6 linked regions of the Canis lupus familiaris genome follow. The protein of the gene in region 1 purifies or fractionates together with the protein of each later gene. This does not show direct contact. Links are inferred from orthologs where the notes say so. Each region holds a gene or a part of one and is shown in the gene's direction. Other genes may lie near its edges.

The links.
Region 2: the proteins of CLK3 (region 1) and FKBP5 purify together in Homo sapiens (affinity purification with mass spectrometry; 3 studies listed by BioGRID and IntAct, counting the BioPlex papers as one, with this or other methods). This does not show direct contact. The link is inferred for Canis lupus familiaris from reciprocal best matches to the Homo sapiens genes CLK3 and FKBP5.
Region 3: the proteins of CLK3 (region 1) and PSME3 purify together in Homo sapiens (affinity purification with mass spectrometry; 5 studies listed by BioGRID and IntAct, counting the BioPlex papers as one, with this or other methods). This does not show direct contact. The link is inferred for Canis lupus familiaris from reciprocal best matches to the Homo sapiens genes CLK3 and PSME3.
Region 4: the proteins of CLK3 (region 1) and PSME3IP1 purify together in Homo sapiens (affinity purification with mass spectrometry; 3 studies listed by BioGRID and IntAct, counting the BioPlex papers as one, with this or other methods). This does not show direct contact. The link is inferred for Canis lupus familiaris from reciprocal best matches to the Homo sapiens genes CLK3 and PSME3IP1.
Region 5: the proteins of CLK3 (region 1) and TNPO3 purify together in Homo sapiens (affinity purification with mass spectrometry; 4 studies listed by BioGRID and IntAct, counting the BioPlex papers as one, with this or other methods). This does not show direct contact. The link is inferred for Canis lupus familiaris from reciprocal best matches to the Homo sapiens genes CLK3 and TNPO3.
Region 6: the proteins of CLK3 (region 1) and GPATCH8 purify together in Homo sapiens (affinity purification with mass spectrometry; 3 studies listed by BioGRID and IntAct, counting the BioPlex papers as one, with this or other methods). This does not show direct contact. The link is inferred for Canis lupus familiaris from reciprocal best matches to the Homo sapiens genes CLK3 and GPATCH8.

What each region holds. Positions count from the first base shown.
Region 1 is NC_049251.1:38,152,476-38,155,975, forward strand, and holds part of CLK3 (dual specificity protein kinase CLK3), read left to right. Parts: intron 1-2,114; coding exon 2,115-2,231; intron 2,232-2,774; coding exon 2,775-2,941; intron 2,942-3,500. UniProt on the Homo sapiens protein: Dual specificity kinase acting on both serine/threonine and tyrosine-containing substrates. Phosphorylates serine- and arginine-rich (SR) proteins of the spliceosomal complex.
Region 2 is NC_049233.1:4,958,967-4,962,466, reverse strand, and holds part of FKBP5 (peptidyl-prolyl cis-trans isomerase FKBP5), read left to right. Parts: intron 1-2,402; coding exon 2,403-2,547; intron 2,548-3,500. UniProt on the Homo sapiens protein: Immunophilin protein with PPIase and co-chaperone activities. Component of unligated steroid receptors heterocomplexes through interaction with heat-shock protein 90 (HSP90).
Region 3 is NC_049230.1:20,062,001-20,066,167, reverse strand, and holds the start of PSME3 (proteasome activator complex subunit 3), read left to right. Parts: upstream 1-1,367; 5' UTR 1,368-1,410; coding exon 1,411-1,485; intron 1,486-1,588; coding exon 1,589-1,621; intron 1,622-1,758; coding exon 1,759-1,821; intron 1,822-2,012; coding exon 2,013-2,117; intron 2,118-3,017; coding exon 3,018-3,066; intron 3,067-3,740; coding exon 3,741-3,853; intron 3,854-4,157; coding exon 4,158-4,167. UniProt on the Homo sapiens protein: Subunit of the 11S REG-gamma (also called PA28-gamma) proteasome regulator, a doughnut-shaped homoheptamer which associates with the proteasome. 11S REG-gamma activates the trypsin-like catalytic subunit of the proteasome but inhibits the chymotrypsin-like and postglutamyl-preferring (PGPH) subunits.
Region 4 is NC_049223.1:58,454,849-58,459,116, forward strand, and holds the start of PSME3IP1 (PSME3-interacting protein), read left to right. Parts: upstream 1-1,468; 5' UTR 1,469-1,619; intron 1,620-2,034; exon of another isoform or gene 2,035-2,272; intron 2,273-2,289; exon of another isoform or gene 2,290-2,310; intron 2,311-2,372; exon of another isoform or gene 2,373-2,795; intron 2,796-2,801; exon of another isoform or gene 2,802-2,979; intron 2,980-4,091; exon of another isoform or gene 4,092-4,211; intron 4,212-4,268. UniProt on the Homo sapiens protein: Promotes the association of the proteasome activator complex subunit PSME3 with the 20S proteasome and regulates its activity.
Region 5 is NC_049235.1:7,535,117-7,538,616, forward strand, and holds part of TNPO3 (transportin-3), read left to right. Parts: intron 1-1,261; coding exon 1,262-1,405; intron 1,406-3,500. UniProt on the Homo sapiens protein: Importin, which transports target proteins into the nucleus. Specifically mediates the nuclear import of splicing factor serine/arginine (SR) proteins, such as RBM4, SFRS1 and SFRS2, by recognizing phosphorylated SR domains.
Region 6 is NC_049230.1:18,801,860-18,806,042, forward strand, and holds the start of GPATCH8 (G patch domain-containing protein 8), read left to right. Parts: upstream 1-1,383; 5' UTR 1,384-1,484; coding exon 1,485-1,529; intron 1,530-4,183.

The sequences.
Region 1 (3,500 bases):
TTCCTGAGGGTGGCGGCAGTCCGAGCCCCCGTGTGCTTTCCGAAGGGCGGCGCCATAGCAGGGTGCTGGACCGCGCGTGTCGGGCTTCTGCTGCTCCCCTGGAATGGGGAGAAGTTCCGGGGCTCCACAGGCACGCGGCATCCCCGCCCAGGGGCGCTGCTGTGGTGGCCGTGACATCTGCACGGGGCTGGGGCCCTGGCTCTTCTGTGGTCGGGGTCGGCTTCCTGCCGTCCCTGCGGGGCCTGAGGACACTGCTGGGCTGAGAGCAAGCGCGAGCCCGCCCTCTGGGGCCTGCCTGAGAGGCTGGGCCCGTCCCTATTGGGAGAAACAAGACTTGGGCTCTCACCTTGCGGCCACTGCCGCCTCGGGGTGGCCAGCGTTGACCGTGGGTCCTCTGAATGTGTTTGGGTGGAACGGGGTGATACCTGTGTGTGTTTGGGGACCTCTGGGGAACCTTGCTGCCTTCCAGATTTCATGCCCCTCCACCTTAGTCTGGGAGACCGCCTCCTGGGCGCCCCGTCTCCCTCCCTTAATGGCAATGTCATTGGTTTGGTGCTCTGGCTCCCAAGCGCGTGTGACCGTGCTGTCTCATTGGAGCTGCACGCTGCCTGTTGTGACCTTTCCGCTGTAGTAGAGGTGAAGAGAGAGGCTCAGGGTTTACCTATATCCCCCGATTGTCGAGTGGTGGTGCTGAGTACCCCCAGACGGGGCTCAGAAAGGACGGCCACCCTGTGGCCTCCACATAAGGTGGTGACAGCGACTAACAGGAAATCTCCTGGGCTCCCAGTTCCAGTTTACAAACCCCTCAGACCCAGTGGGCCCAGGTTAGGACTGGAGCCAGAGGGCATAGGGACACGTAGGCCATACTGTGACCAGATACGTGCCAGATCTGCGAGCTGGGCACATGGGGGCAGCTAAGCTCTCTGGGCTGTGCCACCCTGAGTAGATAGAGGGGAGGTAAGAGTCTGAAGTCACTAAGGGGCAGGCACAAGGCTCCCGGAGTTCCTGGGGGGTCCAAAGGGAATTGGCTGTGGGGTTGTGAGGAGGAGGTAAATTCTTCCGGAGAGGAAAGGGGGGATCCTCCGAGCCATGGAACCCTGGCAGTGGCTGCCTGGGGACGTGATGCGCTCCCGGTGTTGAGCATCAGACTGCCATTGAGGGATCCTGCTCTAGGAGCCTGCAGCAAGTGGCCTTTGCCTACCCTCAGGATCTGGGGAAATGGGATAGGGAGAGAAAACCAGTGTGTTCTCCAGAAGATGCCTCTGCCCTGGGACCTGTGAGCCTTCTCTTAGGCACCAGGGCCAGCCTTCCAGAGGCCTCAGGGGGCCACGTCCTTATGAGCCAGAGCTGTCTCACTCTAGTTCCCCATGGGCTTCTGAAACCGGGGTGTCCCTTACGGATAGCTGTCGTCCCCTGCTCTGCTGGCATTCTGCGGTGGCCTGCCGGGCGGGGCTGGGGCTGGGACGCCCGGAGCAGGAATTCTTAAAAGTCCTCACTAGACACTGAAGAGGCCTCCTGGCGCTCTGTGGTCTCGGGTAAATGCTGTGGCTGGTTGGTAGGCAGGCTGGGGTGGGGGCTGGAGTGTAGCAAAGGGCCCCGGGGACTTGCGGTGAGAGGACCCTGCTGCTGGCACCCTTACCCTCTGGCCAAGGCTTCATCCCATCCTGGAACCCCCACTCCAGGGGGAGCTGTTTGCCCAGCCATGGAGAGGCACTTAGGAAGGTCAAGGGGTGCCGCAAGGAGGTTGTGGCTGGGGTGGCCTGGCCAGGTCAGGGTGACTGGCCTACATACAGGCTGGGTCACCGAGCGGGCTAGGCCTCTACTCCACTCTCGCTCTCCTCTGGGAGCCCGAGGTGGCTGCCATCGGATAAGCCCAGGCTGGCAGGGACTAACAGACGCCAGGGGACCTTGCTGCTGGGAGAGCGAGGTGTGGCGTTGCCTGCGGGCAGGCCGGGTGTCGGGTGTCTGCGCTCTTCTGAGCGGGTCCTGTTCCTGGAGTCCCGTCCCGAAAGCTGTGAAAGCTGTTTGCCAGCAGTTGCCGGATTGGGGTGGAGGGTGGGGGGAGGGGCTAGGGACCTTCTCGTGAGAACCCCTGCTTCCTTCCCGGCTCCCAGAGGGAAGTCTCAGGTTGCCCTGAAGATCATCCGCAACGTGGGCAAGTACCGGGAGGCCGCCCGGCTAGAAATCAACGTTCTCAAAAAAATCAAGGAGAAGGACAAAGAGAACAAATTGTGAGTGTCAGGAGGGAACAAGGGGGAAGCTTCCAGTGGGGATGGCGTCCTCAGCCCCGTGGCCTGGACCCCCCCAGCTGTGTCCTCTCCCTACCCATGGAGCCGGGGCAGCTGGGCCAGCGAGTCCTGCTGGTGGAGCTTGGGGTTGCCATCCAGGTCCCCCCATCCATCCTGTGCACTGAGGCAGGCCTCCCAGGCCCGCTTCCATAAATAGGGGCCCGTGGGTCACGGCAGGGGTCAGGCAAGATGCGCCCCCAAACTGTTGGGCCCCCACATGGTCAGAGAGCTCCAAAGGAGAGCCAAGAGCCGCTCTGGCACACGCACGCTGGGTAGTCCCTTTCCTGCAGACTCGGGAAGCTCAGGGGGGCTGGAGAAGGGATGCGCCATTCCATCTCTTCCTGAGGTGCGGGGATGGTGGCTGGGGCAGGACAGCTCGAGTCAGACCCCCCCGCCCATAGCTGCCCCAGGGGCAGCGACCAGCTTGAGCGAGGGCCGGGGAGCCAGCGCCACCGAGGCTGAGCCCCGCGCACCATTCTCCTCCAGCCTGTGTGTCTTGATGTCGGACTGGTTCAACTTCCACGGTCACATGTGCATCGCCTTCGAGCTCCTGGGCAAGAACACCTTCGAGTTCCTGAAGGAGAACAACTTCCAGCCTTACCCCCTGCCGCACGTCCGCCACATGGCCTACCAGCTCTGCCACGCCCTCAGATGTAAGCGTCCACGCTCCACGCGCCAGCCACGTGCGCCCGCCAGCCGACCTGCGGGGCCCCGAGGGCTGAAAGGCCTTCGGGTAGGACTCTGGGGTAGGGGGCTCCTGAGCCCTCCCATGCCCTGGGCTCTCAGGCAGAAGGGGGCGCAGCTCCAGAACCAGCCCAGCCACTAGGCCCCGCTCATGCCTGTGGAGGATGGAAAGGCCGCGGCCCGACTCGTAGGCCCCACGCACACCACGCTGCAGGACGTGGTGGTCGGCACGGGCCGGGCTCCTGCACAGGTGGAGGGCGGGCCTCAGAGCTAGGCTGCACGGGGTCGGCTCAGGCAGAGGGCACAGGACGCACACCCGAGCTGGCCGAGGGGACCTGGCACGTGATGTCGGGGAGGAGACAGGAGCACGAAGTGGCAGGTGCCACCACTGGTGGGGCGGGGGCTGGAGGAAAGAGGTGGATGTCTCCCCCGGGCTGAGGGATGAGGAGCAGCTCCAGGGCTGGCCCTGGGGTGGTTGCTGGAGTGTTCTGTCTCTGTCATCTTGATACTTAGTGACTTTTTCCCAAT
Region 2 (3,500 bases), on another chromosome or scaffold:
ACCTCATATAGTTATTGAGATTATATAAAGCATTTAGCAGAGTGCCTCATCTGTAGTCATGTCTTTTATTACTATAAAAGTAATAAAATTACATTGTGGAGCTGAATCAAGACTAGATTGTATCCTTAAAGCATCTACTTAAAGTAACTCTTCATGTCTTCCCATTTTTCCCAGTCTAGAGCCCCTAACAACTAACCTTCTACTCTCTGTTTTTGTGAGGTCAGCTTTTTTAGATTCCACATATAAATGAGATCATACAGGATTTTCTGTCACTTAGCGTAATACTCTCAAGGTCCATTCATGTTGTCACGATGGCAAGATTTTATTCTTTTTTTATGGCTGGATTAACATTTCACTGTGTATATAATATACATACTACATTTTCTTCATCCATTCGTTTCTCTGTGGACACTTAGGTTATTTCCATAGCTTAGCTATTGTACATAATGTTGCAATGAACATAGGAGGTACATATGTCTTCGTGAGCTAGTGTTTTCGTTTTCCTCAGAGAAATACCCAGAAGTGGAATTGCTGGATTGTATGGTAGTCCTGTTTTTAATTTTTTGAGGAATGGTCACACTGTTTTCCACAGTGGCTTCACTAACTTACATTCCCACCAACAGTGCACGAGTATTCTCTTTTCTCCAAAACCTCACTAATACTTGTTATTTCTTGTCTTTTTAATCTTAGCCATTCTAACAGATGAGGTAGTATCTTGTGGGTTTGACTTGCATTTCTCGATTGTTTTCATTATTTCTTTTTCAGATATATCCCTGTTATGAGTGTGTAGAAAAACAGCTGATTTCTGTGTGTTGATTCTGTATCCTCCTGCTTTACTGAATTCATTAATGATTAGTTCTAACAGGTTTTTGGTGGAGCTGTGATAATGATTCTTTTCCTTTAAAGAATATCTGGACTTTTGAACTAGAAAATTGTAGAATATAAGCTTACAGTGTTTATGTGGTGATATGAGGGTGGGGCTGGGAGGATACATCTTAAGGAATTTAGGAGTGAATAACTGAATTCTTTATATAAAAATTCAGACTCTTCCCTAAAATGACGATTCTTGGACATTAGCTACCATCCTCTGTTATCTAATAAAAATGATTAATTTGGCATAGGTGATTGACAGAATAAATTATGCCACCACATGCTTGGATTTGATATTCTTTTCCCAGAACTGACCAACTGCATTAGTAGTCTGCTCTGCCAAGAACAAAATAAATATACTGGATTTTATGACAGCTAGCTATTTTTCAGCCTGGAGCTTTTTTGGCATTTGCTTTACTAGAAAACAAGCTATTCAGTATCATATCAAACTATACAGTGATACTGTTTTTTTCACAGTAAATATTCCTCACATAATAAAAAGTATAACCTGTTATACCAGGAAATTGAGCTTTTTGAAATTAAACCAAACTAGTGGAATCTAGTCAAAAGGTAAAGTTTTTAGCAAAGGGTGGAAGTAAATAAAATCTCACCTTTGTAAGTTTGCTTTCAACTCCTTTTTGAATGTTTTTTTTTTTAATTTTTTTTTTAATTTTTTATTTATTTACTATAGTCACACACAGATTGAGAGAGAGAGAGAGAGAGATAGGCAGAGACACAGGCAGAGAGAGAAGCAGGCTCCATGCACCGGGAGCCTGATGTGGGATTCGATCCCGGGTCTCCAGGATCGCGCCCTGAGCCAAAGGCAGGCGCCAAACCACTGCGCCACCCAGGGATCCCCCTTTTTGAATGTTTTTGAAAGTCTAATCTTTTTGGTCTAATTCAGTTTGTATATGAACTAGCTCTGTGTTTTGAGAGATTTTAGTGTCAAAGCATGAGTCAGGATCTCTTGGGTTATATTATTTTTAAATTTTTTTAATTAAAATTAAATTAAAATTAAAAAATTAAAATTTTTGTTAAAAAATTAAAAAAATTTTTAAAAAATTAAAAAATTAAATTAAATTTAAAAAATTTTTTGTTATTATTTTTTTTTAAGATTTTATTTATCCATTCATGAGAAACACTGAGACAGAGAGAGAGGCAGAGACACAGGCAGAGGGAGAAGCAGGCTCCATGCAGGGAGCCCCATGTGGGACTCGATCTCTGGTCTCCAGGTTCACACCCTGGGCTGAAGGTGGCGCTAAACTGCTGAGCCACCCAGGCTGCCCTCTGGGGTTATATTATTATGTTATTTTGAGGGAATAGTGTGATTGGCAGTAAAATTAAATATAGCATTAAAGATTGAGAGTAGCATAGGACGATTTTCTAACAGTGAGGGTTATTAAGAGAACTAGCGGGGAGGCCTTTAGGAAGGACAGGTAATTATTAGTAAATCTGTAGGTAAAGTGGAATGGATTGTGCATCTCTGATCAGAATAAAATCAGCTCCTTTTTCTTGATGTTTGTCTTTTCTAGATTGTCAAAAGAGTGGGGAATAGTGAGGAAACACCAATGATTGGAGACAAAGTTTATGTCCATTACAAAGGGAAATTGTCAAATGGAAAGAAGTTTGATTCCAGTCATGATCGAAATGAACCATTTGTCTTTAGTCTTGGCAAAGGTAAGAGGGTATTTTTGGAGTTGTGTTTTGCTTGGATTTATTGCCATTTATATTACATAGGAGCTAGTGGATCAGAGGAGCTGGTGGATTTTTAGGAGGTCCATAATGTCAAGACTGTTTTTATAATAAAACTAAGATGTTGTTTATCTGTTTACAGTGTTGGCAGTAAAGTCTACTGAAGGTGCACAAGCTGCAGTGGTAAAGGCTGCTGGTGCCCTGGTGCAATTCTAGGCGGTGGCACCAGCCTATGCTAGCAATCGTATATGCTTCGCTGCCTTTATGCACTGTGTAAATAAGGATCAGAAAGGAAGCCAGTTTCACTTGGTGTCCTCGACAAAGCATAAAAAATACTGATTTTATTAAATCCTGATCTTTGAGTTTCACATTGTTTTGCTGTTTTATGACAGATGGGGAAGCACACATGGAGCACTTTTGCATACCCGAGTGTACTGGTTATCTCACGAAGTACCTGTGCACTTAACTTGAGTGCATTTTTTTTATAATAATCATTTTTCTTTAAAAGGGCAAACTGTCGTTGTTTAGACTTGATTATATAGTATTTGGCAGATACTTTCTTAATAATGAATGAAATGGGGCAGCCCCGGTGGCTCAGCGGTTTAGTGCCGCCTTCAGCCCAGGGTGTGATCCTGGAGATGTGGGTTCGAGTCCCACATCGGGCTCCCTGCGTGGAGCCTACTTCTCCCTCTGCCTGTGTCTCTGCCTCTCTCTCTGTGTGTCTCTCATTAATTAATAAATAAATACAATTTTAAAAAAATGAATGAAGTGAGCCTGTCACTTCAAGGAAGACAACTGACAGTATGTCTTACCATTGAGTTTTCAAATAAAAATTACAGTTTTGGGAAATTTGTATCTGCCACTGGGAGCCTGACAACTTCCTCAAACTTAAAAGACTTCTGATGAGATCCGTGGATATCAACGAATGTGATTTTTAA
Region 3 (4,167 bases), on another chromosome or scaffold:
AAGAGGTACGGTCTCTGCCTCCTATTAGGAAAATAGATAACGGCATTGTCCTGAAAGTCGGGAGATCTGGGTCTGGAAACTGTGTGGGCTTGGACAAGCAATGCCGCGCTCCGGTTGTCAATCTGCCCATCAGGCAGCTGATCTCTGAGGTCTCGAACTGTATGAGGCTAAGTGACGGAGGAAGGTGGAGAAGCCTGGGACAACAGAGCTTGACTTCTGTTTGACTCTAGCCTAACACTAGAGCTTCGGCCGACGGGAGGAGGCAGCAAGAATCACAGAGTAGAACCCCCGAGCCCAGCGCCGGGGCCGCCGGCTTCCTCGGGCCGACGTCACTGGGGCGCGACGGCGCTGTCCGTCCTGTCCTCGAGGCGGCAGCGGTTCAGAAGGTCCCTGTGATGAGGGCGAGCGCCGAGCTAACAGAATGTCCAACAGTCCTGGAGTCTCTCTAATGCTCAGTTTTAAGCAAACCACCCTCGGCTGCTCTCCCTCCTACTTCGCCCTTACCCGGCATTGGATGCCGGCTGCTAGGAGTCCGGTCTCGGACGTCCAGGGCTGGACCCCAGCGCGGCTGCGCAGGGCACGTGCGCCTCTCCGGAGTCCCGGCGATTGGCTGTGATGTAACTTCCGGCGTGAGCGGCGAAAGCCGGGAGGGCGAGCGAGAGAGTGAGCAGGCAGCAGGCAGCAGGCGGGCGGGCGGACGGCTCGGAGGGAGGGAGCGAGCGAGCAGTGAGTGAGCCAGCGAGGGCGGTCGCGTCCCTAGAACAGCCGAGATTCTTCCCGTCCCTCTGACCCCCTCCCCGGAGCCCACAGCGCCTCTGGTCTCCAGTGGAGCGGACACGGCCCGGCCCGGCCATGGCCTCGTTGCTGAAGGTGGATCAGGAAGTGAAGCTCAAGGTAGCGGCACCGGTCTGGGCCTCCTTACCCCCCGCTTCGATTCCCGAGCAGTCTGACCGGCTCCCCACTCCCCATGGCGTCTTTGTCTCCCTGGGGACACCAGCTCTGAGCTTCCGCTCAGCTCAGCCCAGCCCCCCACTCCCGGAGACGGCATCAGGGGAGAGGATAATATGGGGTGGCCTTGTGAACCGCATCTGGTGGTGGAGATCCCCGAGGAGACCTCCGCGGACACGTGGTGGACTCAACACTTTAGGCCAGTGACAGCTGGAAGTCCCCAGTCCAGCAACGTCCCCGCCTCCGGATGCTACCGCTGTTCTACCCCTACCCTTGGCGTCAGGCCTCCCTGGTATCAAAGGCTAGGTCTGGATGGGGGCTTGGCACGTTTGTGAGCTCACATGCCCCCTGTCTACCTGACTTTCGTTTGCTCTCAAATCCAGACAGCTTCAGACACAAGGAGGGAGGGTGGGAGGGAAAGCAGGCGGGTGCTACCCTCAAACCCCACTTCCCTCTCCTGAGATGGAGAAATGGATCCTCAAAAAAATAAAGTATTTACAGTCTGGGGGTCTCTCAGCTTCTCATTACAATTACAAGGTGAGGGGAGTACGGCTGGATTTGGGTTTTCCCGTCCTGCCCTTAACCTCTGTTGCCAGGTACTGACTTGCTGTTACTGAATTGCTCTCTTTGTTAATTTTAGGTTGATTCTTTCAGGGAGCGGATCACAAGTGAGGTGAGTGCAATAAAAAAAATAAAATAAAATAAAATAAATAAGCGTTGGTTGATAGTTGGGAATTTCCCAAAGAAGAGATCTGTAGAGAGAGACCTTCCCACAATTATTAATTGAGCTGTATTTTCCTTCATTTTTAGGCAGAAGACTTGGTGGCAAATTTCTTCCCAAAGAAGTTGTTAGAACTTGATAGCTTTTTGAAGGTGAGAGACTCTTTTCTTCAAATTCCCGTTTTTTTGGCTCTGGTCTTTCTGTCAAATGGGAGAAATCATGTGTTGATTCTATTTTGTTTTGTACAGTAAAATGCTCTCATTTCTTGCCCTTCAAATAAAATACTTCTTTGTTCATTTTGAAAAGACTGATGTTGTTTTGGGGGTGGGCGTCTCTCTTTCAGGAACCAATCCTAAACATCCATGACCTAACTCAGATCCACTCAGACATGAATCTCCCAGTCCCTGATCCTATTCTTCTCACCAATAGCCACGATGGACTGGACGGTGTGAGTGTCCTGTATTTTTCTTTGTATTCTGAAGCAATAGTTCTCTAGTCTCTGTTCTTTACTTCCTAGTCAATTTAAACACATACGGAGGAGACAGTGGATTAGGATCTAGGAACAAGGGCTCTTATAGACCTGATGATTCCAGTATACCACTTTGAGACCCTGGTTTTCATTTATAGCATGAAGTGTGTAATGTAATGTTACTTTGTCCTACAGTGAGTTCCTAATAGGACTAGTAGCTACAGGTTTCCTCAAGTTATCTGGTCTGTCCCTGTGGCTCTAAACAAGATATTTCTTACCTTTTTCAATGTCTTGAGTATTGTTAGAGGATGAGTAGTGCTTGCTATATAACTGTAGTCTCTGTCTATGTGACATATATTTAGAACCCCGTGCTTGCCAGTTACATGTCCACATTTCATAATAACAGTGTTAACACTGTATTGTCTGAATTACTGTGTCCTTGATAGAGCTTGCAATTCTGGAAAACAGAAACTATTAATCATCTTTGTATCCCTAGCACCTAGCACTGTACTTGGTACATAGTAGGTGCTAAGTACATGTTTGTTGATTGAATATTGTACTTCTTTGTGGAAGTTGAAGATTTGTACATATTCCCTTTAGTATACTCACTGTGCTTTGAATGGTTCATTTTTCCTGTTGCTTATAGTATCCACCCCTCTCCCCCAGTTGCTTAATGTGTCATTTGAAGGCTGGTCTTCCCAACTAGATTGTAACTTGCTTTGTGGCAAGAATCTTTTTTAAAGTCTTATATGTGCTTAGTAAATTGTGCATAAATGAAAACAGCCTATGGGGCCAAAGAGATTAGACTTGCTTGAAGGGTAACTTGTGATGGGAATATGGGTGTCAAGAGCAGACTAATTCCTATCTCTGTATCCTTAGCCCACTTACAAGAAGCGAAGGTTGGATGAATGTGAAGAGGCCTTCCAAGGTAAGAGCCAGTCTCCCCCGCCCACCTACTCCCTGGCTTGCAACCCTGAGCAGGAGGATTGATCTGGCAGTCTCTGATCAGAAAACAAGACCGAATTTTATTTTCCAGCGTTAACATTCCAAAGTTCTACAAACATGGTTATTATTTAGCACCCCAAACCTAATTTCCCAATAAATAGGGAGCGGTTGACTTAGTGTGGACTGTCAAGGGGGAGAGGTTTGAGGTGGCTACACATCTTAGATTTTCCACAGAAGTTCTAGTTATTTTCTCTTTTTCAGTAATAGTTGGTGCATTAAATCTTTAGAGCATATTTTAATTTCCTATTCTTTCCTTATTCAGATTTTGGCACTTTTTTTTTTTTTAAGGATTTTATTTATTCATGAGAGAGAGAGAGGCAGAGAGGCAGAGACATAGACAGAGGGAGAAGCAGGCTCCGTGCAGGGAGCCCGATGCAGGACTCAATCCCGGGACCCTAGGATCATACCCTGGGCCAAAGGCAGGCGCTAAACCGCTGAGCCACCCAAGGATCCCTTGACTTCGGCACTTTAGACACTCATTTTAGATAAAAAGCAGAGATCATAGCATCTCATGGGTCTGGGAAACAAGGAAGGTGGGGGTATTATGTCCTGTCCCCCAATCCCTCAATCATTTGACCTTCTTCATGTCCCTGCCAGGAACCAAGGTGTTCGTGATGCCCAATGGGATGCTAAAAAGCAACCAGCAGCTAGTGGACATTATTGAGAAAGTGAAACCTGAGATCCGGCTGCTGATTGAGAAATGCAACACGGTGAGGCAGGGGCTAGTGACTTAAGGGCTGACCCCAAAAAGCCTGGCTTGAATTATGAAAAATATTGGTTGTGGGGCAGGAGGCATGGAGGTGATAGAGGAGTTGGCACATTAAGTATCTTGGCTACCATGTTCCTGGCATCTGATCCCAGCAGCAAGGATTGTATATTTCATGGCTTCAGCAGAAAAAGCGAGGGTCTTCATATATGTGTGTGTGTGTGTGTGTGTGTGTGTGTTTCTATATATATATATATGTCTATATATATCCATATATATGTATATATATTGGTCCTCTCACCCTTCAGGTCAAAATGT
Region 4 (4,268 bases), on another chromosome or scaffold:
TTCCCATAATTTTTGTAATAATTGACAGACGGACTTAAACTCACGAGTAGAAACAGACTGTTGTAAATGCATTTTAGGAACACACAACAATTTGTTATTCTCTTGCCAAAACATACTGTAGAGTTGTTGTGTTTCCCTATTCACTATAGAATAATAAACTTTTACACACAATGCTATGCTTTTTATTTCCTCTTGATTCTTGGCCAATTCACTAAGGGAAAAGTCATTTTGTTGACAAATCAGAAAAAGTCCACACAGAGTATGCTGGAACACTTCCTAATTAATAACTTAAAAATAATCATGGAGTACAGAAATAATGAAGGGTTTGTGAAAACAGCAAAAGCAGGACAGAGGCATTAAGCAGTAGGTCAGGACAGCATGTATCCTGGGAAATCAGGAGTTCATAAAATCACCAGTTTGTTTTTTTTTTTTCTTTACGACCCATGGAATACAAAATTAGAAAAACAGGAAATGCAAGCCAGCTTTTTGTAAAGAAAGAAACCCAAAGAACAAAAACAATCACCGAAAAACCAAACTTGAAAAATCACAAATCACCCAACATTTGGACAATCAGCTCTAGCAAATGCCAGTAACCAAACGTTAGGAACATGTCATACATGGACACAAGTATCATAACCTCATAGGGGGAGCTACAAAGCAAGATGTCATTCCAGGAAATGCAAATTATATATATGGTGAGAAATTAAAGAGAACCACTGTGGAAGAGAAATTTAAGATCAATTGGTAATGTGCCTCATAATCCGTCGTTTGAAGTCACCATAGAACACAGAAAGGCATAATAGTCACGGGAAAAAAAATAAAAAGGTCTCATCTACAAAATCACAACTGAGGAGAAGGACGATATTCACTACATGTAGATACCCAAAGGTCACGAATACACACACACACACACACACACACACACACACACAAGGGAAAAGGGAGGGGGGGGCGGTGGTGGTTCATAATTCTGAGATCAAATTTCAGCCGTCAGAGAAAAACTTTCTGGAGGAAAAGATCATATTATAGGGCTACCTCCTGCCAGCACCATCAGAAGTTCAAAGTCAATTAAAAGTCTGGGAGCAAAAAACCGGAAACCCCTGCCCTCCCATCTGAAGCAGGGGTTTAGATCCTGGTGTGACCTAGAAAGGCCCGAACCTGGAGGTTCCCAGTACAACATGGCTCCCAGCACCATAGGTGATCAGCAACTGTATTAATGCTAATCCCCTACACCTACATACTGCTTTACAGTTCAGGAAGTGCCTTCACGTCCATTCCTCACCCCCTGTGGTGGCAGAGTCGCAGTCCTCCGCTTTCACACGGCTTGTAGCTCGTCAGGTCTCTCCACACACCGTGCCGTTTTACAGAAGGGGCGCAAGAGACCAATCTGCTCTCCTAAGATCCCGCCCGCGGCAGGCGAGGGGCCTGGGCCACTGTGGGGCTCGACCGAGTCACTAACACGCACAAGACACTTCCAACCTCGGAAAGTTCAAAGTACAGCACTCCAGGGGGAGCAGCCCCATTCGGACGGCTCCGCAGACTGCAACTGCACCGGCTCGGCGAACCCTCTCCGAGAGCCTCGCTCTGCCTCCTCCGAGACAGGGACGCCGAGGCGCCAGGTAGGAACCGAAGCCTGTCTAGAGGCACCCGAGGGTGCCGCTGCGACGGGACGGACCCGCGTCCCCACCGCCCTGCCCTTGCCGCTGCCCCCTCCCCATTCCCCGCCCGGCTTTCCGGAACCGCTCAGCCACCGCCTCGTCCCAGGGCCCTTCCCCTTCTTCACATCGGGCCTCCCGAGTAAGAGAATCCGCTCGCTCTGGCCCCGCTCCCGGTCCCTCTCCCCGCGGGGCCCCTCCACCCCAAGGCATTTCTGCGTCTCCCGGGCAAGGTCCGACTCCCGTCCGTGCCGCCCCAACCTTAAACTCCACAAAAGAAACCCCTCCCCAAGCCTCCTCCGGCTACCCCTTCCGTCCAGGACGCTCCTGAGGAGCACCCCTAGTATCCGGAGCCTCCCCAGAGCTACCTGCCTCTCACCTGGGCCCCTTTAGCCGCGGCCTCCTCGGAAGGGCGACCCTCAACAGCCTCCGCCTCCGGCCACGAGCCCCCTGGAGGGGGAACACCCTCTTCCAGGTGCCTCCTCAGACGCCCTCGGCGCGGCCTCAGTGGAGGACCTCGGGCTGTTTCCTGGGCTCTGCCCAACGCCACTCCCTCCCGGGCCCTCACAGAACCTGCCCTGGCCCCCGTCGGGTCTCCCCAGCGCAGACTCGGGCGGCTGTTCCCCTCCCTCACCGACGTCCCCAGCCCTCGGACTGCCCCCCGCTCCGCGTCCCCACTGGTTTCCCAGAGCAGCGCGGCCGGGCTGTGGCACTGACTTCTCCAGCTCCCGGGCCCACCCGAGGGAGGGGGCGGCGGCGGCAGCGGCGCGACTCCTTTGTGACAGGTCCGAGAGAGCGGTAAAGATGGACGCGAGGCCACGGCGCTGCCATTACGCGCTGGGCCCACCCCCGCTTCGCACCGCCCCTGCCCTCCCTCGGTCCCCTAGGAAACGCCCCTTCCTCGGTGGCAAGCCCTCTCCCTGGAAGCCAATCGTCTCTCAGGAACGGTGCCACGTGATCACACGCTCCGGCCCGCCCCCCAAGCGCGAACTGGCCAATCCTCTTGCTGAAGTGGGAATGGCCCAATCAAGTCTCTCCGCCTAGCCTTCGGGACACCGGATTTCCATCTGTCCCCTGGGAAGAAAGAGAGGTGCGGATTGGGTTACGCCGCCGGAAGCGGGGCGGAACTTTGTTGTGGCGGTGAGGAAGAGGAAGCCCTGAAGGGTCAAAAGGAATACAAAAGCAAAGGCTGTTTTCTTTCTTTTCTTTTTTCCTTCTTTCTTTTTCTCCCCCCCCCCCCCCCAAAGAACGAGTGGCCTTAGCGGTGGCGGTTTGGGGTGGGCGCCGCCGAGGTGAGGGGGTCTCGCCTCCCGCACGCTGGTAGGTGAGTGCGGCCTGGGCCCTGGTCTGGCGGAGAGACCCGGGCTCCAGCTTCTTCCCTGAGGACACGGGGGGCTACGACTGGTGTGAGGTATAGGGCCAGGCCCGCCCTCAGTCTGCGCCCTCGCCCAGTCTTCTGAGTCACTGGGGTCAGGGGCTTGCTGGGGCCCAGCCAGGGGGCAGCCGAGGGAGCCTGCGGTAGGGCATCCCAAGCGGGATGTGGGGCAGCATCCCGACCCCTTCCAGCGGTCTCGGGACTTCGGGCCTCTTCCTGGCTCTCTTCCACCGTTTCTGCTAAGTGGGGCCACCCCCCAGGCTCCAGGTGCGGGCCGGGCTCCTCAGGAAATGTGGGAGTCCCTGGATGGAAATGGTTGAATCCCAGAACGCAAGTGTAGGATGGGAAACGCATTTCTTATGTACCATGTACCGTTTGCTGTGCTCAGTGCAATTTCTTCTAATAGATAACAAACCAGCGTGCTCGTTTTGGAAAAAACAAAAATAAAACCCCAAAAAACAAAACCCAAAACCAACCCTCCCCCCCCCCCAAAAAAAAAAACCAACAAAATAAACAGCTTAGGAAACTAAGACCATGGGTGGAATGATCTTGTTTGAAAGTTGCCCACGTGAATGTCTGTGCACACAGGTGTGAAGGTGGAGACCTACTAAGAGCAGTGGTTCTTAGCCTAGTAGAAAATACGATCTTCTGACGTCCATTTAAATACAGATTCTCTGACCCTACCCCCCAGATAATCTGACTGAGTAGGTCTGGAGTTGGGACCCAGGGAAGCCAGCGCGTTTGCGCCTGGTGGTCAGAAATTCCAGTGACCTGTTGTGTATCAGCTGTGAAGTAAGAGCTGTTCATCTTCAGCTGTTTGGCTTATTGATGAGTTAACAGGGACCCCATAAAATGGTTTGGAGGGCACTGCTTCTGAAGTCCTTGAAAGGAATTAGTGTTTATACTCCTTTTTGATACAAGGAATTGAGCTGAGATAAAGGCAGCTTTCACAGTCTTTCAACTAGAGCATGAGAGGAGCTGTTAGCAATTTCTAGGAGTCTGAAAGCAGAGGCTGGCCACTTATTTTTCTCAGCTGACGTGTTGGTGCCTTAATCCCTTACAACCAGGAAGAACAACGTCAAGACCATTTACGTGGTTAGCAGCCTTTCCTTTCACCTTCTAAGAGTCTTGATGTTTGGTTAGAGTTAAGCTGCTACCTCATACTGAAAACTGCATTGCTGGTAAGTGAGGTTATTGAAGTGTGTGGTTCCACCAGAGGCTCAATCATACTGTAATTA
Region 5 (3,500 bases), on another chromosome or scaffold:
TAAAGAGGAAGCCAAGGTAACCCTTTCTAAGTTCTGAAGCTTTATGGTGTGTATTTGATTCAATGAGTGATTTTTTTTTTTCTCTTCAAAGCAACTAGATTTAGATGTAGCATTTTTCCAAAATTCTGTTCTTAAGTTTGAGTCAGAAGTTAGAATATACAGTCAAGTCCTTCCATTTGTAAATATCATGTCTTAGTAAATTGAAATGTCATTCAAGAAGTATAAAGGCCAAACAATTGTGTAATGATTATACCTTCAAAGATTCAGATGTGTGTGTGGTTGCCATGAACTTGCTTGAAGCATCTTTTCTTTTTTCGTTTCAATTCCATTCAGTACAATTACTAATTGAGAAGAATGTAATTATAATTGTCTGATACAGCAATAATAGGAGGAACCTGGCTACCGAAAAGTACAAGAGTCAACGTTTAAATCACTATGGGATTCTGTATCCCACCATATGCAACCTAAACCCCATGGCAGTTATGTTATTTCTGATCATTGCTTATAAAAGTTACATTTTTTAAAAAATCCAAACAAAGTTGCACTACACTTTACTTTGGAAAAAATATACATCACAAAAACAGTTTGCAAAGAGAAACTGGTTTTTTATTTATTCATGAGAGACACAGAGAGAGGCAGAGACATGCAGAGGGAGAAGCAGGCTCCTCACAGGGAGCCCAATGTGGGATTTGATCCTGGGATCACACCATGAGCTGAATGAAGGCAGATGCTGAGCCACCCAGGCATCCTTAGAAACAGTGGTTTTAGTCTGACTTTCCCTTTTATCTCTTTTATCAACCCACCATATTTACAGTAGTGTCTTTTTCTGTGGAATGGTGTATTTACTGGAGTAATCAAGTGTAGCTGAAACATCAGCTTTTCATAGTAGGACTAGCTTACTTTTATAAAATCAACTGTGTAGATGAGTATTATTTTAAGATAATTTTTTGATAAGATTATGTTAATGCAGAAGAGGGATCTAAGAAACTATTATTTCTGAAACAGAACTATCTTTGGACAAGTTTTAATCTCGGTGTATCTCAGCTTCCCAGTTGAGAAAGTAGAAATAGTACCTGGCTGTAGTGTTAGTTGAGATTAATAAATTAAGGGCATTGAGAGCAGCATCTGACACTTTCAAAGCGCTTTGAACTGTTGGCTCTTAATATTATTATCCTTCTCAATATTATACCTGCAAGATGATTTTAATAATGGTTTAAAGATAAAGTTTGCCATTATTTAACTTTTTTTTCCTTCTTTTCAGATGACCTGTGTAGAAAAAGCAGGAACAGATGAGAAAATGCTTATGAAGGTCTTTCGCTGTTTGGGAAGTTGGTTTAACTTAGGAGTTTTGGACAGTAACTTCATGGCTAACAATAAGTTACTAGCACTCCTTTTTGAGGTTTTGGTAAGTAATGGGTTTGTTTATGAAAGTATTTTTACCACATAGTCACAGTAGTAACTAACCTTCTGGAACATAGCAGTGTTTTCAGATTTCTGTACAGTGATTAGAGGATGTATAATAAGAAAGCAGTGTCTCTCTCTTGCTTGTTACCAAGTACCAAAGGTATTGAAGGGGGCAGCCCAGGTGGCTCAGTGGTTTAGCGCTGCCTTCAGCCCAGGGTGTGATCTTGGAGACCCGGGATCAAGTCCCACTTCACACTCCCTGAATGGAGCCTGCTTCTCCTTCTGCCTGTGTCTCTGCCTCTCTCTCTGTGTGTCTCTCATGAATAAATAAATAAAATCTTAAAAAAAAAAAAAAGTATTGAAGGTATTAGTATTAATACTCAGAACAGAATGTAGTTAGGTTTAATAGGAAAGCAGTTTTACATGTAGATCAGTGGTTTACATATTAAACTCCAAGTAACAAAAAACCATTGGTCTCTTTTTTTCTTGTTTTGTCCCCTTTTCCTGGATGATGTCCTTCCATAAAATCATATTAGTTTGGAAGCTCTGTGTGTACTGGTTGTGTGCTAGTGCACTATTATTTAGAAGGTGGTAGGGGCACCTCGGTGGTTCAGTCAGTAAAGCATTTGCCTTCAGCTTGAATCATTATCCTGGAGTCCTGAGAATGAGTCCTATGTCGGGCTCCCTGCTAAGTGGGGAATCTGCCACTTCCTCTCCCTCTTCCTGTGCTGTTCCCTGCTCTTTCTCTCTCTCAGTCAGTCAAATAAATAAATAAAATCTTAAAAAAAGAAGATGATAGCATGATAATAGATTGATACCACTGTGAATTAAAGGAAAGGAAAGCACATTCTTCAAAAAGACATTTTTGGTATTCTATTGTTAGTGTATTTATGCTGTGTTTTTTCAGGAGCAGGAGCTAAGACGCAGGAAAGTTAGGATGCTGCTAATAATTATTTTGCTAGTCACTGTCTTTGTCTCCATTTCTATTGATGCCCTACCTCAGTAATGGTAATTTTGATTCTCATCTTACTAAATTGTATAAAGAGTAGTCAGTATAAATAAATTAAAATCCTACTTTTGTTTAAAAGTTTATGAATATGAGGGACACCTGGGTGGTGAGGTCAGTTGAGTGGCCAACTCTTGGATTTAGCTCAGGTCATGATCTCAAGGTCATGAGATTGGAGCCCTTTGTTGGGCTCCCTGCTCAGTGGGGTATCTACTTGAGATTCTCTCTCTCTCTCCCTCTGCCCCTCTTACTCATGCACACTCTCTCAAATCTTTTAAAAAAATTTATGAGTATAATTGATTACATATGAAGGGAGGGCAGTTTAGAATACACATCAAACACAAGACCTTGGTTACTTCTGGGAATTAAGACTGGGGTAAGGAGCAAGCTAAGTAGTGTGCCAGGATTATATTCTTCACTGATCCAGTGTGTCAAGACCCCTTTGCTATTTAAAAGAAGGATAATTTTAGAGTCAGTGTCAAATATATTCTCATTCTTACATTCATTCAGTGGTTCAGAATCATGCCATTAGTTTGGTTTATGTGCAGACCACAACTTTATTATAATGGTGTAATAAACTGTAATAAACTTTTCTCCCACAGTTCTTTTTTTTAAGCTTTTACAAATATAATGCTGGAGATATGTATATATATATATACACACACACACAAAATATATATACACAAAAGAATAAATTTGAGTGTTTAACTTTTAAATCATATAATAACAATAAATATTTTTGAATTTACCTCTCAACCTAAGAATAACCTAATGAATAATTTGCATCTATCTTGTGTGTTCTCCCAACCCTCACTCTATTGCTCCTTCCCCACCCTGGAGATTCTAAATGTCCTTGTTTTTTATTATTCACAAAAGACTAATATGCTTTCACTAAATTTACCCATCCTCTCAACTGTACTCTTCTAAAAAGAAGCCCTAGAGGAACCTTCTGATCTGCTCTAATTTGTACCAATTACTCTTTAGATCTTCTCCTCAGCTGTTGTTCTGGAACTTCTCTTTACTATGCTTTTGGATTGGATTGTGTTTTGAACGTTTTTAGACACCTTCCTTAGAAAGATATGTGGGAAGT
Region 6 (4,183 bases), on another chromosome or scaffold:
AGCCCTTGATCAAGAGTCGCATGCTCTATGGAGTGAGCCAGCCAGGAACCCCCTACCTCCAGCTTCCAAAATGTTGACACCTCTTGCCTACTGTTGTACCTTCTTCAGGTCTCTTTGTCCATGTCTTTCTCATTCTTTAACTGTCATTTTAGTAGGGTTAGGTGAGGGAGAAGAGGTAAACCTGTCCAGTGTATCCATGTGATTCAACCTGCCATTTACCCTCAACTCTCTTTACAATGTTTTCAGTCTGTGTTCTGCCTCTACTTAGTTCTTTTCACTGCTTAAAATTGTATTCTGCTTAGACTAGGGGTTGGGTGAGGCAGAGAGTAACAAAGGAATATGAGATACACATCCTTCTTCCAAAAATGTACATTCCACTGGACTCTTTCAGGGGAGGGTAAGGGCTATTTTCCATTTTATGATTTCTGTCAACTACTCTTTTCAAAAGCAGGCAAGTCCTCATACCCCTCCCACGTGTTTTATGTATTTTGGCCAAGGGAGCTGGGTGGGGACCTCAGGAAAACCATAGGATGGAAAAATCTGAATCATAATCCACAGTCATTCCTGGGCAGGGGCAGTTGAGATTACCAAACTCGATTTCCTTATTTTATAAAAAGGAAACTGAAACCCAGAGAGCTTTAGTTGATTTGGATCACCTTTGGTCTCCTGAAAAATCTTTACTCTCATATCTCTTAGAAATGACAACTCTTAGCAGTCAAGGGGCCTGTGGGTCTAACGTTCCCTTTGCTCCAAGGCTGCAAGGGTAGGGGGTGGGGGTGGGGGGCTTGCCGCCTGCTGTTCCTCAAAGGCCAAAGGTCATCTCAGAGGTCTCATCACCGCACTGTTTTATTTTTTTGTAGCCCTCGTTAACATTTAAAATTACGCGATTATTTTTACTATGTATCTGATTTTCCCCCACTGGAATGTAAGCCCTATGACCGAAGGGGTCTTTCCCCGTCTCGTTTGCCATTTAATCCCCAGGGCAAACTGGGATTCGAAAAGGAAGCAGTCCCGCTCCAAAATCCGCGCTTCCAACCCGGACATTACATTGGTATTTAGTGAATAAGGCAGACGATGGGCTTCTGCACACCCAGGGAAACAAGAGGGCGAGAAAATAGATCGTAGCCGGGGAAAGCAGCAGGTGGAAAACACCCGGACCCCGGCGTATTGTGCCCCGTGACCTTTCTCTCCGGAAGCGCTTGCAGCTCCCCGGCACGAGTGCGCACGCGCGGCCACCGGGGTCGCTCTGGGCCGCGAGCGGAGAGGGGACTTAAGGAAAGGTTCCGCCTCCAGGGCCTAAAGGCGCCTGCGCCGGCGGGGCTCCTTTTTGGACGCGCTTTCTCGCTTCCTCCCTCCCTCGCCTGCGCGCGCTGGGTGGGCGTGGGAGGAGGCGGGGAACTGGGGAGGGGAGCGAGGGGGCGGGTGTCGCGGGAGGGAAGGAGCGAACCGGAGAGCGTCGTCCTGAGAGGAGTGAAGGCGGCAAAATGGCGGACCGCTTCTCCCGCTTCAACGAGGATCGAGACTTTCAGGTAAACACGGGCGTCGCCGAGAATCCGGGAAGGCGCTCGCAGAGCCGGGACCACCTCCTCCCCCGCTCCTAGCGCTTTTCCTTCCCAGCTCGGCTCCGGCTTACGAACCGGCTTGCTCTTCTCCCGCCTCCCAGTTCCTCAAGGGGCCTCCCAGCTTGAGGCGAGGCCGCATCCCCTCTCAGCTCGTATTCTCTTACCTGTGAAACTCCGGCCCCCGGGTTTGCGGCTTCGGCTTTGCTGGGGCGGGTTTCGGAAGCCTGGCCGGGCCGCAGACTCGGGACTGCGCTCCGCTCGGGTCCGCCGGGCCTGTGGAGGCGCCGGGCGGGCTCCCGGGGGAGAAGAGGGATGGGTCGGGAGGGCTTCGGGCTGGTGTTGCTGAGACCAGGGCTTCCGAGCCCCCCGGGTTTTGCTCGCAAGGCTCTTTTTCGGGTCGTCCTTCGTCTATCCTCAGTACGATAAGTCCCTTTCATTGTCTATTTCCTCACATGGGAAAAGGATGCTTGAGTTATCAGACGCCTTCTTGGTTGGTCGAACATTGAGATTTCCCTAGGCGTAAATGTTGCTGTTGTCATGAGGCCGTTCATCTTGCTTGGAAAAGAGTAAGTTAGAGGACTGTTGTCGATGGAAGCTTAGCCCCAAATCCTACCTCGAAAGATTTTTAACAAGTGTAATGATCATGGACTAACCTTTGAAGTGCGATAATTAGCGCCAGAAGCTCCCTTTTTCTTTCTTTAGTTGCAAACGCTGTATGGAAAAGTGTCCTTGTGATGGCAGGCATTACCGAGGAGCAAATAAAGGCTAAATTACAATAACTCGTCTTCCCGTTTAAGATACCTTCCTGTTGAGCATGGTTACTGCAGAAATCTCGGCGACTAAGAGGGATTTAGTAGAGGCTGGCTGATTCTAGAGTAAAATGCATCCTCAGAGTCTCAAACCACTGCATTACTACCGCATATCCTGGCAACAGCAATTTGGGTCAGGGGATGAACATCACAACTCAAGTTTTTATCCCGCTGCAGATCTTCCTCTCAGTCACACGGGATACTCTGGATATGTTTCAGAAGGCTGTTTGAAGGAGTTAAATTTTTCCGAGATGGGGTTGGTAAATAAACACGTAAAGAAAGCAGTTAAACAACAACAGTTCAGTGCGTAGAACGCTCCTCACAGAGAAGTTTTGCAGCAGTAAGGCATCTGGGGGCTGTTGAAAAAAGCCTTGTGATCTGCGCCTGCTGTATAGCTGCAGCCCAGTACAGAATCTCACGGCGGCTTAAGAGTATAATGCAGGTGCAGGGAAGTTGAAGTAGTTCTCTATAGCCATTTGCTCCCTGAGAGATTGTTTTTGTTTTTTCTTTTCTTTTTAGCGAGCATCCTAAAACGTGAGTAGGCTACAAGATGTGTGGGCTTTATTGGTAATCTTTAAAGAGACATGTTAACTAAAATCCTCAAGTGTTTTTCAGAGGAGAGAATTTCAAGGTGACCTAATAGAATTGAAAATAAATAATATGGACAATTAAGTTTTGAGGGAAAATGTCTGTCAACCACAGAATTTCAGCAGACTTAAACAGAATTTGCAAGGCCTTGAAAAAATTTGAAAACTGGTTGGCAGATTATGAATGCTGTCACCTGAAAAAAATTGAGAAAGCCTCTGCCTTTTCAAGTAAGATGATTTTCTCTTCTGATGCTTTAGTTGGGCTTATATGAAATCTGGTTGGTAGTCCTTTGAAGATAGTAGGTATATTTTACATTTATTTCCTGCTTGTATGTTGGAATAACCGACGCCAGTATTGGGTGAGCCAGGAATATGGTTTTCTAAAATTCAGCTGTCTTAATATTATGGGTAAAATAGGGTATTTGGAAAGAAAGCTTTTTAGACAATTATAAGATGTTAAAGTTTTTGTAAATTATCGATTAACATTTCTAAACATCCATTTATAAATAAAGTAGTCAACTACAATAAATTTAAAAATTAAAAATACTTAACATATTTTTTTTCTGGATGTTTTAGTAAAAGGATAAAGGTTGATTTTCATTAATGATGTCCTTCAATTTAAAGTTATTGGAGAGGAAATGTAATATCATGTTCCTGCATATAGTATATCTGGAACATTTTAAGGTTGGTTTATTAAAATTAAATGTGGCCTCCTTTTAAGGTTTTAAGTGATAAATGAGGTTGAAGCCATTGAATACACTTGAAAACAAATCCAGAGTAGATTTCCAAACAGTGCATGGATCCTGTTGCTTTAAAAGATCTTCTTACAGCACTAGAAATTCTTCTGTGCATTTTCTCTGGTAAGTTCTAGATGACTTCATTTTCTTTGCCTTGAATTTGGCAAGATGATTTGTAATTATAAAATTTCACTCTTTGCCAACTTACCATCACTTGCAAATTTTGGAGAGTTTGTGGTATCTTGAACTTAGTATTGAGTCAGAGGTGGATTCACTTATTTGTGAACACCTGAAGTTTTAAAGGTGTTTTGTGTAATATAGTGAGCATGCTATTGTGGCATGCTACCTATACCTATATTAATTGTGGCATGCTACCTGAAACACTTAGGAATATAAGGAGTAATCATTATTAGGGCAATAATTTAGCTTTATTTTAATAATAAACAGGTACCATTCTACAGGCTTTATGTGTATTGTAGTCTTCACAA